Oryctolagus cuniculus: one gene and its partners. The protein of the gene in region 2 interacts with the protein of the main gene of each other region in a biochemical or structural test. Links are inferred from orthologs where the notes say so. Each region holds a gene or a part of one and is shown on either strand. Other genes may lie near its edges.

Region 1 (4,326 bases), on a different chromosome or scaffold from region 2:
AAAGACGGCTTTTAAGGTTCTCATGCAAGGAGATGAACGTCTCTGTTGTTCCTTCTCTTACAGTGTACATGCTGGTTCCTGACTGAATGCAAGACTCTCATGTGTTCCGAAGACAACAAGTTTGTTCTCACACCAGGAGCTTTACTTTGGTGCTCGTTTGCTGCTAGAGGAGATGGTGGCTTCACATCTGACCAAGATGTAGTGGGGGATGGGGGGAATAAGGTATGGTTGGAATAAGCAGCAAAACCTGCTGCAAAGGCAGTGGCTGGCAAACTTCAGTGTGCAGCAGAGTCACAGGAGGTGCTATTAAAACTCCAGACGCCTACGCTGTGATTGAGTCACATACGTTTGGGACAAGGCCCAGACATCTTCATTTGTAATCCGCACACCCCCGACCCGCCCGCCATGCTCTGATGCAGGCAGTTCCACCTTCAGCTCTGCCAAAGCACACATCACCAGCACACCGGGCACACTGCCCCACTCTACCACTCACCCTCGAGGGCAACTCCAGGTCAGCAACGAGCTGAGACGACACGTGTACATCTGATCATGGAGGTGAGCACTCGCTCACCTCGCTCCCAGCGTTCTGCTCAGAGTCCGCGTGCCATCTACTCTAACGTACACCGAATAAAAGCAACACTTATGAACTCCATGTAAATTCTGAAGGTGAGCAAATTACTTTATTTCTGAGGCCTGACAGCATTGACTTTGTTATACAAGAACCTGCAGCTGACAGAACTGACACACAGATTTCCCAACAGGAAGGACTCTTTCTAGTAGCGGAGATGAAATGAAATGTCACGTCTGAGTGCAATTCCTGGGCCCCACCCCACCCCACGTAACCCCCGCAGGGAAAACAGATCAGTAAAATCCCCGATAGTGACTGAAAGTCAGCCCTCCGAACTCTTGTGACAAGCAGCTGCAGCGTGGAAACCAAAGGAGGGAAGCAGCTGGCCACCGTCAGCACCGTCCTGTGCGTGTGAGACTGCAGGGACAGCAGCAGGAGAGGAAGGAGTCTGGATGAGTGGGAGTTGGAGATCCACCTGCCTCTGCCATACCTAAGACACCTCTGTCCCTATACACGGGAAACGCTAAAGGATATGCTAAAGGAGTAGTTTTAGCCTGGGGCCCATTGAGTTCCAAGAAAGGTGTGGGATAAGGGGCACCAGAGAGACAGCAGGTTAGAGAGGCTCAACACTCAAGTCCGTTCCAGTTCAGTGCTGGCCTAACTACCTCGTAATCATAACCACCGTCATGACTAACCCCTATTTTCAAGGTAAGAGAGTGCCATCTCAATTTCTGTGCCTGTGTCTACTGCCACCTCTGGGGTGGCACTGAGATGTTTGTGTGTGACAATACAACTTGGATGGAAGGGAGGAGTCGTGGAAGGCCACAGTGCTTCAGTTACAATGGGCTTGGTCCCCAGAAGGCACGGCCCACCACCACAAGTCATAAAACATTCCTGTCTTCCTCCCCTTTTGGTCTCATGTGAATGTCAAAACTAGAATGGTGAGGAGGGAGTCACTGTTGGACCGCAACTGTCTCTGGCCCCACCTGGTCCATACGCTGACCCTCCTATGAAATTGCACAAGTATTCTCAGCAAAGCTGTAAAGTTATGCCATCCTCAATCCTTTCTCACAGCCAATCCAACAGCTCTGTTCTGACATGCTTTCTCCCTGGGCCGAGGAAGCAGCAAAAAATATCAACTGAGCATGTGAAAATATGATGACAGTGTGTGTGGTGTAATATTTCTCGATGTCTTCACATTCTGTCTCCTCCATGGTGGGAGCCCTCCTGCTCTTCCCCCAAGTCCCACACATACCCCTCCCCTACCCCCAAGTCCAGGTGCTCCCATCTGCTGGGCTTCCAACACTCATTTCCCATAGACACTCTCATCGCTGTAGGCCACATACAGAAAATAGTCTTCCTCATGGTTGTCCTGGGGAAGAGAAAAGAAGACAGCTCAGGACACCTATTCATCTTCATTATTCCTAGGCTTCTGAGCCACACACAGCCTTATTGAATAAGTATGAAGAACATCACTAGCCTCTATTAAAAGAGTAAGCAGAAGTGGTTAAACCTGTGGGTAGAAGATCTCATTCTAATTCTGTCACTCTGCCTTTCAAATAAATAATTTAAAATATTTTTTAAAGTTCATATTAGCAAGGGAAACATACCACAAGACATGTACAGGAATATATATTAATGGAGAAGATACACTATGGAATAGAAGTCCCATTAGAGTTTGTGTCATTACTGAGGCGCCATGAGAAGGCAGCACTCGTGTGAAATCCTTTAAGGAGTACAACAGTTATAATGTTACGTTCAATTTCCAACGTGAGAAAGTGCTTTACTATAGCTTACTCATTAGATTACCAATTAAACCAAGTCAGGTAAGTTATTCTCCCTGAGTTTGTCTCTTAAGATAAATGAATCAAAATGAAGACTTGGCCTTAATTTGCATTTCAATTTCAATTACAATTCACTGTGCCCAGGTAATGGTGAATCTGTTTCATGTTCTTAGCTTTGAACTCAGAAATAAGGAGCTACCCTTGTGTGGCTCTATATGGTTGTCTTAAACCAAAATTTCGGTTTAGAGCTTAAGGTTAGTTTCAGAGCTAGAAGGGGCTAAAATTAACACCATTTGTTTTCTCAAATAAATAGCAATAAAATAATGAACTGAGATCTGAATGCATAGTTTGCTTTCACACTATTTGTCACCAACAAGAAAAAGAGGAACTGCAGTGAATCCATGTTTGGAATCTTTGTTATCAACAACCACTTCCAGTCATTTCAATAAAGACCACTGACATTACAACAGTAGTCAGGCGAGACTGAAGAGAGATTTGTCAGCGGGAATAAATCTAGTCCTGAGGACTGCTTCCCTGCAGGACAAGTGCTGTCTGATCACCCAGAGCCTGACACTGCCATCTGTAAGAGGATCCTGGTAAGTAACACCTTCTGCCCCACTTTCCCAGTGTTATCAACAACTCAGACTGCTCGGAACTGCTGCGACCGGGAGCATTACCTCATACAGCTGGCCCATGGTGGCACTAGTGGGAGGGATGGTGTTGTTGACAAAGAAGAATAAGGCGTCCTCAGGTCTCAGGTGGATCCTCTTCCGGATTAAGAAGTAGAACTGGCCAACTGGATGAAGGAAGAAGGAAAATGAAGGCACGAAGAGCAGAAAACAAGGGATTAAAGGAAGGGTAAATTCTCCTGCACCTGTACCCTCTAGAGTAAGTATCAGCTTTGGAGACCATCTGAGCAGAGCCAACCATCCTCCTGCAGCCTTGGGAATAAAAAGTGAAACACGAGAGGCCCGCAGAGTCCCAAGCGCAACACAGCGGAGTTTACTCCTTCTTTCCCCCATTAATTTCAGACCCACTGTTAGCAGATCCACCCCAAGATTCACCTGATGCACAGGAGTTCTATGTATAGCCAGACCAATCAATCCCATCATTGTCTAAAGCTGACCTGTAACACCCTTCCACCCCCACTTCCCCCAAGACAAACCAGAGATGGAAAGAGGTCTACCAGACCCCAGGAGTCTTAGGGTGGTCACTCAATTCAGTGTGGGGGCACCAAGTGTGAAGTAGTGTGTTACATCTCCTGAGAATTCTGAAAATGTTCTAGAAAGTCAATATTCAAATCTATTAACTCTGGAGCAAGGAGATCTATAATCTTTCAGTGTCTCCTGAACACAGTAGGTATTCCATTAAGGATCAAGGTGAAGATCAAATATGTTCTTTATAATTCCAAACTCAATACAAAACCTATTACAAAACCACATGGCCTGAGGAGATGAGACATCTCACCGATAATCTCTAAACTGTGATCCTCCCAGGAAACTAGGCTGGTACTTCTCCTCAAACAAACTGACATCACAATGGCAAAGCTGATTTAATAGGTGGTTTAAATAATGGACATCTGATCTTTTCCTCCAATGTTTTGGGCTCTTCTGGGGCTGAATCAAACAAGGCACAGTGAAGGGAAATGCTTAAGGGACTTGACATCATTTTTGAGTCAGCCAAGTCTGCGGAGAGCCACACTCAGATCCTTCGACTCCATTCAATACTCTCAATCTCATGATCTCAGGGGACAGAGGGCTTGGGAGAAAAGGGACATTACCGGTGAGGTCAGAGGGCACGAGGTACTTCCTCTTGTCCAGATCCGGCACCCTGGCTTTAGGTGCCTTCTCCACGATCACCTAGGGACAAGAGCAGGAATGAAAACCACAAGACCCAGCCTACTGTTTTCCCTTCTGCTTCCTGCAGTTACCCTACTGGAACTGAGTCTAGGCATTACTTCTCCACTTCTCCTCC
Region 2 (4,326 bases):
ACAGTTATCAACACACACATTAAAGCATAGGCAAGTAAACTTCAATGTGCGAGGTAAATCTTTCATATTCAAAAGTTACCCTGGAAAAGGAGGCCATAAAAGGGTAAAATTAGTGATCAGGAAAGTTCTCTTTTCTCAATAAGCACTAACTCAACAAATAAGCCTAGTTCTTTTAAAAGTACATAGCAGTATTAGAATTCAGAATTTTTTAAAATAAGCCTCAGGCTGAAAAGGGGGTAACAAAAACACAGGAAGGTAGAAATTGTAAAATGAGTAGAAAAGAACTGATTTCCTCAAACTCTTCCACTATCACACTGAGAAAACAACAAACTGAAAAACCAAGACGATTTTCCAACCCTTTATTCTGCTGAAGAATAAGGACCTTACAGGCATATTTCCAGGGGGACAAAAGCAGTGATGTGAGAAATAAACACCACTTTCATTTCTCTTGCAGTTAAGAACATATAGGAAGAAAATGAACAGTGACTAATCTTTGACAGATAATTTCACTATTTTTTGCATAGAATCTAAATTCAAATAAGCTTATTTGATTTGCTTTATGCTTACTTACATTCAAAACTACAACACTTACAAGGTTAACATTTTTAACAAACAGCAATTTCCTTACCCTCATTGGATGTATATCCGCATAAGGTGGTTTTCCTTCAGCCATTTCTATAGAAGTAATGCCAAGGGACCAGATGTCAGCCACACAGTTATAGCCTATTTCTTGAATTACTTCAGGAGCCATCCAAAATGGAGTTCCTATCACAGTATTACGTTTTGCCATTGTATCCTGTAATAGCATTATGCAGACATAAATACTACTATAAAAACACAAAGGAAATCTGTATGCCAACATGTCCTTTAAAATACACGTTAAACTCTTAAATACCACAGAGTACATCTGAAATGAACTATATTGCTAAGATTTCAACTAGTCACAATACAATATATTCAGGAATTTTAAATTATGAAATAAATAAGAGCCTAACAAGTAACCTACTTCTACTATCTTCATTAAAAAGCCATTAAAGGCCGGCGCCGCGGCTCACTAGGCTAATCCTCCGCCTTGCGGCGCCGGCACACCGGGTTCTAGTCCCGGTTGGGGCGCCGGATTCTGTCCCGGTTGCCCCTCTTCCAGGCCAGCTCTCTGCTGTGGCCAGGGAGTGCAGTGGAGGATGGCCCAAGTGCTTGGGCCCTGCACCCCATGGGAGACCAGGATAAGTACCTGGCTCCTGCCATCGGATCAGCGCGGTGCACTGGCCGCGGTGGCCATTGGAGGGTGAACCAATGGCAAAGGAAGACCTTTCTCTCTGTCTCTCTCTCTCACTGTCCACTCTGCCTGTCAAAAAAAAAAAAAAAAAAAAAAAAAGCCATTAAAAATTAATCAACATAGCTTCCCTTTTACAACACTTAAGCATTTGAAAGCAAGGTATATTTTCATATTCAATATCACTAATTATAAATAAAATAAATAATGCTCAATTTGGTTCAATTATTGCTTTCTCCAGAAGAACAATAAAGTCACACATTTCCTCCCATACTCCCCAGAGTTAACAAAGTTTAGATACAAACCAGAACAAATCAGACAAACGTGTTCTCAAAATTATTAAAGTCAACTTACTGTTAACTGACCAGCCACACCAAAGTCTGCCAATTTTGCGTGTCCTTCTGTATTGAGGAGAATATTTCCAGCTTTTATATCTCTGTGAATTTTCCTCATAAAGTGCAAATATTCTAGTCCTTTCAATGTAGATTTAAGAATGGTTGCAATTTCATCTTCTGTTAACTGGAAAGAAATTTTTTAAAGTCATACTGAAATACCATGTCAGATAAATTCTTATAAGAGAGCACTAGGAACAACATTTCTTTCTAATGACCACTACATCTTTAGGAAGAGCCTAAAGGTTAAAATAATAAATAACATGTTTTCCATCTACAATGTTGTTAGTCATTATCATTATAAATTTTACTGATGAAATGAGGATTAAATTTCTTTTCTGTTTAAAATTAGCAATGTACTTCATACGGCATTGACCATATCCTAAGAACCAGCATGACCATAAAAAAATCAGTATTTCTCACTTTGTCTAACATTTGGTCAGTGCACTATTGCAATTCTCTGTCCTGAAAAAGTAAATTGAGACACTTTTCCCTGAATTCCTCTGATTTTTGAAGAAAATGAAAGCCCACAACTTTACAAAAAGGAAAGACAATGAGGATAGGTAGCTAGACACAAATCTCCATCATGAGAAGAGCTGGCACAAATGCCACTCTTCCTGCTTCCAACCATGTCACTCTTAATCCAACCAATTCCTAGGCTTCTGACCTAATACTGAAAACTCAAAAATGAAAATGTCAGAGAAAGATGTGGGATATGGAAACACAAAAAAGCAGTTAAAGGAAAGAAAGGAGAGAGAAGAGAGAAGAAGGGCAAGTCTATCTATAATAGGCATTAATGAAAGTCAGCATTCATTACCTCATTTATCCTTACTACAGTCCTATATGGTGGTTTCATATTACGAAATGACAAGAAATAAATATTTGCTCTTTCTTTCCCAGGTTTCTAGCACAACAGCTCCTTAGGTGGAGTAGTAGGTAAAGGCAATGCCTGCAACAACGGTACCCCACATGAGTGCCGGTTTGGGTCCCAGCTGTTCCACTTCTGTTCCAACTCCCTGCTAATACGCCTGGGAGAGCAGTGGAAAATGGCCCAAATTCTTGTGCCCCTGCACCCATGTGAGAGACTTGGATAACTTCCTCTCCTGGCTTCAGCATTTCCTACCTCCGACTGTTGTGGCCATTTGGGGAGAGAACCAGCAAATGAAAGACCTATTAATTATGGACTTAAAAAAATAAAAATTGCTCTAAGACCTACATGTAAGACCTAAAACTGTCCAACTCCTAAGAAAAAAAACAGCAAAAGCTTCACAATATTAGATTTGGTAATGATTTCTTGAATATGACAAAAATATATATGCAACAAAAGGAAACAGACAAATTGGGCTTCATAAAAATTTTTAAAATTTGTGCATAGGAAGGAAACCAATATCAACAAAATGAAAACACAACCTACTGAATGGAATGGAAGAGAATATTTGTAAATTATGTATCTAACTAGAGATTAATATCCAGAACATACAGAGAACTCCTAAAGCTCAGCAATGAAAAATAAATAAGTAAAAATGGGCAAAGGGTTGAAGATATTTTTCCAAAGATAGACAAATGGCCAATAAGAACATGAAAAGATCTCCAGCATCATTAGTCATAATGGATATTAAAATCAAAACTTCAAGATATCATTTCACCCTCATTACCACAGCTATTATCAAAAAGCAAAATAATAAATTTTGGCAAAGATGTGGATAAACTGGAATCCTTGTGCACTCTAGGGAGAAATATAAAATGGTACAGCTGCTGAGGAAAATAAAAATTCAACCACAGAATTACCTTTTGACTCAGGAGTTCAGCTTATGGGTATAAACTCAGTAGAACTAAAAACAAGTGCTCAAGATTTTGTACAACCAATGCTCATGGCAGATTAATTCACAGTAGACAAAAAGCAGAAACCACTCAAGTATCCACTGACAAATGAAAAGGTAAGCAAAATGTAATATTATTCAGCCTTAAAAAGGAAGGCAATTCAGCAATATACTACAGCATAGGCAAATTTTGAGCACATTATGCTAGGTAAAATAACCCAAACATTCACAATTAAAAAATGAATACTGTATGAATCAGCCAATATGATATTTAGAACAATCTAGAATATCTAGTAAAAATCAGACATAGAAAGTCAAATGGTAGTTGCCTGGGGCTGGGTAGAAATAAAGACTTGGTGTTAATTCCAAGATGGCAGAATAGGAAAAATGTGTACTACTCTAGGCTAGGGAAAAACAGTTTAAAAAAAAAAAAAAAAGAAAGAAAAAGGGGGCCAGCGCTGTGACTCAGTAGGTTAATCTCCGCCTGTGGCACCAGGAATCCATATGGGTTCTAGTTCTAGTCCTGGCTGCTCCTCTTTTGATCCAGCTCTCTGCTGTGGCCTGGGAAAGCAGTAGAAGATGGCCCAAGTGCTTGGGCCCCTGCACCCACATGGGAAACCTAGGGGAAGCTCCTGGTTCCTGGCTTCAGATCGGCCTAGCTCCAGCCATTGCAGCCATCTGGGGAGTGAACCAGCAGGTGCAAGGCCTTTCTCTCTGTCTTTCTCTCTCACTATCTGTAACTCTAACTCTCAAATAAATAATAAAAAAAAAAAAAAAAAGGAAAGGAAAAAAAAGTAGAGAAAGTAAATTCTCAGGGGAGAGTTAGAAAACTGTGGTGGAA
Region 3 (5,099 bases), on a different chromosome or scaffold from region 2:
CAGGGAACACTTAAGATACATGCCCAGCTCATGTCACAAAACCGTTGCACAGCTCATCATTTCGTATTTAGAAGAAAGTGACTATTTACAAAACTTGCAAAAGCAGCTCACATTTTTCTTAAAGTAAGAACAGAAAGCACAAAGAATGTGAGCCAGGGAGGGCCACAGCTTTGCAGTCATTGGGTGGAGCCGATCACCCCATGTATCCCTGCTTCCCAGTCCCCTCCAACATACACACAAGAACAGTGCCTCTGACAGTGTCTGATGCATCCATCAGAGGACAAGTTTCTCTTGACATGGGGTGAATGGGATTTCAGGTCTGTTCCCATGGCTGCTCCCACTGCTGGGAACTGCTAACTCCAAGCAGCCAAACATCTCCTGGGAGGCATAGGTCATGTAGACAAAGCCGTCCTTGTCCTTGTAGTCCCGATAGATCTCTGCCATGGTCATGCTCATGCTGACCAAGCTCTTGTTGTCCACCAGGAGGTAAAAGGCTTCGGTGGCCCTCAGGACCATGCGGCTCCTGGGAAGGGGAGAAGGGTAGTGAGAGACTTGACCTGGGAATCAGCTTAGGAATCTGAAGGCTCAGGATGTGCAAGACAACTGAATTGCCCACAGCTGTTCCTGGAACTTTAAGATCCTCAGGGCCTCCCAGTTGGGCCCAAAGGATGAGGCCATTCCATTTTTAACTAAGGCGAATACCAACACAATAATGCTAAGCAAATAAGTCCTAGGTCTCGTTGAAAGCTATTTCCCCAGTGAATAAGAGGCATGGAGAACACTGCCCCCCCTTCCCTGCTTTCTGTGGGCTTCATGCAGGCCACCTGTTTGTGCTGCTGCTCCTGCCCACGCGGTTTCTGGCCTGTAGCTTCCTGCACATGGCCCCCGTTATGCTCTCTGCCTGGTATGGAACTCCTAGTTTATCTTTCTGATCCCCTCCTCCCTTAATAAAACCCTTAAGTTCCTGTTTATTTCTCTTGCTTCCCCAAGTAAATGCTGAGCTTAAAAAAAAAAAAAAAAGAAAGCTATTTCCCCAAGGGTGCAAGAATGATACATTATCTTTCCAGCGTCTCACAATTAAACAGGGGTGGAAAGGCCTTGAAGTGTGCCCTTCCCTTCCCTTGCCATTTCTCCTCTGCCACCGACGAGATGGAGAAGGAGCAAGGCTTAGTTGGACATCCTTTAAATGTCAAGGGTAAACAGACTTCCAATTCAGTGTGCAGTGATTGACAGTGAATCAATATAGGTGCCTACAGGAAGGCTCAGTCTCACCTTTCACACACTTCCATTTGCTCTAATTAGTGAAACAGACACAATTTCCCACTGCACTCTCAGAATTTTGAGCCTCGATGTGGGATAAGATCAAACATAAATGGGACATGGGGAGTGACTGGAATCTGATTCAGTTTATACTCAGGTAATTTCTCCTAAAAGAATACCAAAGGTATTCATTCTGGCTATTGCCCAGTGCCTTTGGGTGAAAAGCAACCATTCTGCAGTGGGGTGGGGGTGGAAGAAGAGTGGAACTAGGGATGGGAATACTGCCCTTGGCTGGGTTGGAAAAGCTCCTGTGCCCGAGCTTGCACTCATCTCCTTCATTTCGCAAACTCACTTTTGATGAGTGTTTGGGCATCCCCAAGGGGGAGAAGGCCACAGACAGGCATTATTGTCTATTTTGTTCACAGTTGGCTCTACAGAGTCCAGAAGACACACAGAATACAGTTGGTGCTCAATAAACATTGATGAGGATGAGGATGAGGATGTAGGTTGGGAGCCAGGAGCAGTGACTGGGAAGAGGAAAAAGGGTTCTCCATCCCCAAGGGGTCACCTAATGATTAACTGATACAATGGGATCTCCTCCCGACTTTGATATCTCTTTAGGCATCTGTCTTCACAATGAACTTGGAAACTTCGACAACTCTTTGAAACAAAACAAAATGAAGACACTCATTCATTCACAGTGAGCCCTCAAAGCAACAGGCAACAGTGGCTATTCAGCCTCCAAACAGACTTTTCAACCTGGTGAGGACTTAGTCACTGGCTGTATTTACTCACAAATCATTTTCTAATTGCACTCATGCATCAGGCGACACCACTTAACCCTCTTAAGCTTTAAGAAGGGCAGGGACCTTTTGCTTTTCAAACAGTTCCCCGTCTGCCAGAAACACAAACCCTGAGGAAAGCTGCTGCTCTCTGCCAGGGACACGCAGACTGGCTTGCACACAGTTTCTGGAAGAAGGATCTTCTGGATGAGTTCGAGAGCCAGAACTACTCTAGGGAATTCTTCGAAATGTCGGCAGCTCTTGCAGTCTGTTGCTTGTTGTCTAAGGGGTTCTCCCCACTTGTTTAAAATAGAATAATTCTCACAGCATCTTTTTAGGGCACAACAGAATCTAAAAGATGAGTGAGTCACCAAAAGATCTCAACCCCCTTTTCTTCTGGAATACCCACATTCCAACCAAAGAATGCAGCAAACTTACAGATAGTTGCAAAATTCTCTAATTCTCTCTCTCTCTCTCTCTCTCTCTCTCACACACACACACACACACACACACACACACACACACATGTCCGCTGTGTCACCTACCGTATGATGCTGAGAAACTGGGTCATGGTCAGCTCCTGAGGAACCAAGAACTTGGTTTTGTCCAGCAGGGGCAGGAGCTTCTCTCTGGGGTAGCGCTCCACTATCACCTGCCAAGAGTATTAGCATGGGTCTCTCCTGAGGCAGGTGCCTAAGAATGTGACTCAGAGCCCCCAGTATCTTAGGGACTTGGGAAAGAGAGGGGGAGGCCATTGTTTGATCTTTGTTTCTTCAAAGAACAGATACAGGCTCCTCTGGGGAAGGACAGTGAGTCTTACCGGGATCTTGTTTGGGAACTTTGCCCGGATTCCAGCAACTTCCTCTTGTCTGGTTGCTGTAGAGATTTCAGGTAGAAAAGAGTAAGTGGACAGTTAGAGAAAGATGCATCCTCTCCTGCCTCTCAAGTTACCCAGAGAGCTGCCCAGAGCTTTACCTAGGCTCTTCCTCTGCTTGAAGGGTCTGAGGCTTGGGTTTTTCTGTAGAGGCGGCATTTTGCTCAACAGCTGTGTCTGTGTTGGTCTTTAAAGGGAAAAAGAAAAAAAAAACCCACAACTCATTCCCCCAGCTGCATCCACGCTGTCTGCAGGAGCCTAAAGGAGGCTTTAAATAGGGCTGAGTGACATCAGGCCAATCCTGACCCTCCCTTCTCTCGACTCCCCCTTCCTGGGCAGCAGGAGGTCAGTGCTGAGGCTGGAAATGGAATGGCCACCTGCTTGCTGGTCAGAGAAAGTCACTTTGCTCTTGACCAGTTCAAGATGTTTCTTTGCTAAAGAAATTAGGGTTCATGATGAAATCATTGGAATGCACACTCTGACAGCCGAGGTATGGGCTGAGGACTTTAGAGAGGTGGAACTGCCTTATGCCACGGTTGTTTTTGCACTTCAGTAATGAACCAGCTTGAGGTGAGTCCATGATAAATCTGCCTCTCTCTGAAATGTGCTCCATAATTCTCAAGGCAGTCTTTGCTGCTTTTCAAAGAACAAACCCCTGTATTCAGAAAGCTTAAGTGATTTGCTTAAAGCCACAATAGCTAGTGAGAAGGCAGTTGGGATTAGAACCCAGCTGAGGCACAAGGTAGACATACATGACAGTATGTGGTGTCATTTATCTTCTCTGCAATAGTGGCAGGAAGGAGGGACCGTTCTAGGATCTTTAAGAAGTGAGGTGAGCAGCAGAGGCACACAGAAGGTAATTTTCTTGCCTTGGGATCAAACATGGAGTAGCAGGCGGAAGGTGGCTCTCTTGATTCTCAGAGCTTGCTTCCAGATTCTTATGCCTATCCAAGGAGCCCTTCAGATTCTGAGTGAGCAGGTTTACGTTTCCTTTGTCGTGAAGAGTGCTTATGTATACTCTGACTTCCCAGCAGTCATGGAACAGTGAAGAGTTTTGAAGTGAATACACAATAGAGTGGAGGAGGGAAATATGTTCTCCATATTTGCAGGTTGAGTAGAAAGGAAGGGTGAGTCTCAGGGCTTTAGGTCAGAGATCAGGAATAGGCAGCAGGTGCTTAACTGACAGCATCACTGAAGAGAGAAATTGACCTCATGCTGTTTCACTTGTTCTTCAAAAGGAGGCAGCCCCTCAGGTGTGCATAATACAAAGCAGGTGTGTGACACTCTGGGGCCAAGCATCTTTCAAGTCTGGATTTCATTTAAATCTCCCCAGTTGCCTTGCAGGTTGGAAGGCCAGGTGGGAAGCATACCTTGCAGGGATCAAGACAACTCGGTCAGATTACACTGAGGTGGGACCCATCCTACACTGGGATTCTCAGGGGCAGGCCTGGGCTCCGACACCATGCAAAGCTGGTGCCAGGCGTGGTGCTCCCACTACATTCACCTTAACTTCTGATCTTATGTAGGTGATTTCACTTTACTAATTATGATTTTGAATACCTTAACTTAGAGTGGGTATAGGAGGCTTAACGAACTGGGTTAGGTAAAGCAGCTAACATGGTACCTGGCACCAAATCCTATTCTCAATGTGTGTATTTTTTCCCATGCTTCCTAAAACCATGCCTCCCCAGAGCTCCCACAATCCCAGGAAACTTCATGTGTATTCAGATCTGAAGGCTGAAGGTAGAGGTAAGAGAGAGGTCAGGGGAAAATAAATTCCAGCTGCAGCCGTTAGACAATCGTCATAAGGGTTTGTGATGTTTTCTAAGTGCTTTCTCAGCTGGGACATGGGGCTTACAATCTTTCCCAGGCACTCTGCATTTCAGGAGATAATGAGGTAGTAAAATAAAGGACATGGGGAAAAATAAAGTATCTATGTATCATTTGGGCAGAGGCATGGGATAGAACATTTTTGTTGAAAAGTATCTTTTTGAGGGGAGCAGAGTACCCAGTGTGCTGTGTGACCCAATCATGTTCCTGGCCAGTGCTCCTTTGGGCTGTGTGTGGTGTGGGACCTACCACCTGGGAGATAATTCAAGCCACACAACCCCAATGCCACAAGGATTTGGGGGAAGGGATATAAATAACCTCATGGAAAATGGTTGGAGTAAGAGTGCTCGTGC

What was found.
Region 1: the proteins of STK3 (region 2) and GABARAPL1 form a complex in vitro, tested with the Homo sapiens proteins (2 studies listed by BioGRID and IntAct). The link is inferred for Oryctolagus cuniculus from reciprocal best matches to the Homo sapiens genes STK3 and GABARAPL1.
Region 3: the proteins of STK3 (region 2) and microtubule-associated proteins 1A/1B light chain 3C form a complex in vitro, tested with the Homo sapiens proteins (2 studies listed by BioGRID and IntAct). The link is inferred for Oryctolagus cuniculus from reciprocal best matches to the Homo sapiens genes STK3 and MAP1LC3C.

Annotation. Positions count from the first base shown.
Region 1 is NC_091440.1:106,922,597-106,926,922, reverse strand, and holds the end of GABARAPL1 (gamma-aminobutyric acid receptor-associated protein-like 1), read right to left. Parts: intron 4,212-4,326; coding exon 4,133-4,211; intron 3,149-4,132; coding exon 3,030-3,148; intron 1,941-3,029; coding exon 1,875-1,940; 3' UTR 655-1,874; downstream 1-654. UniProt on the Homo sapiens protein: Ubiquitin-like modifier that increases cell-surface expression of kappa-type opioid receptor through facilitating anterograde intracellular trafficking of the receptor. Involved in formation of autophagosomal vacuoles.
Region 2 is NC_091437.1:124,240,975-124,245,300, forward strand, and holds part of STK3 (serine/threonine-protein kinase 3), read right to left. Parts: intron 1,793-4,326; coding exon 1,628-1,792; intron 797-1,627; coding exon 629-796; intron 1-628. UniProt on the Homo sapiens protein: Stress-activated, pro-apoptotic kinase which, following caspase-cleavage, enters the nucleus and induces chromatin condensation followed by internucleosomal DNA fragmentation.
Region 3 is NC_091444.1:55,581,350-55,586,448, reverse strand, and holds the start of microtubule-associated proteins 1A/1B light chain 3C, read right to left. Parts: upstream 3,184-5,099; 5' UTR 3,076-3,183; coding exon 3,018-3,075; intron 2,919-3,017; coding exon 2,863-2,918; intron 2,695-2,862; coding exon 2,588-2,694; intron 524-2,587; coding exon 274-523; 3' UTR 1-273.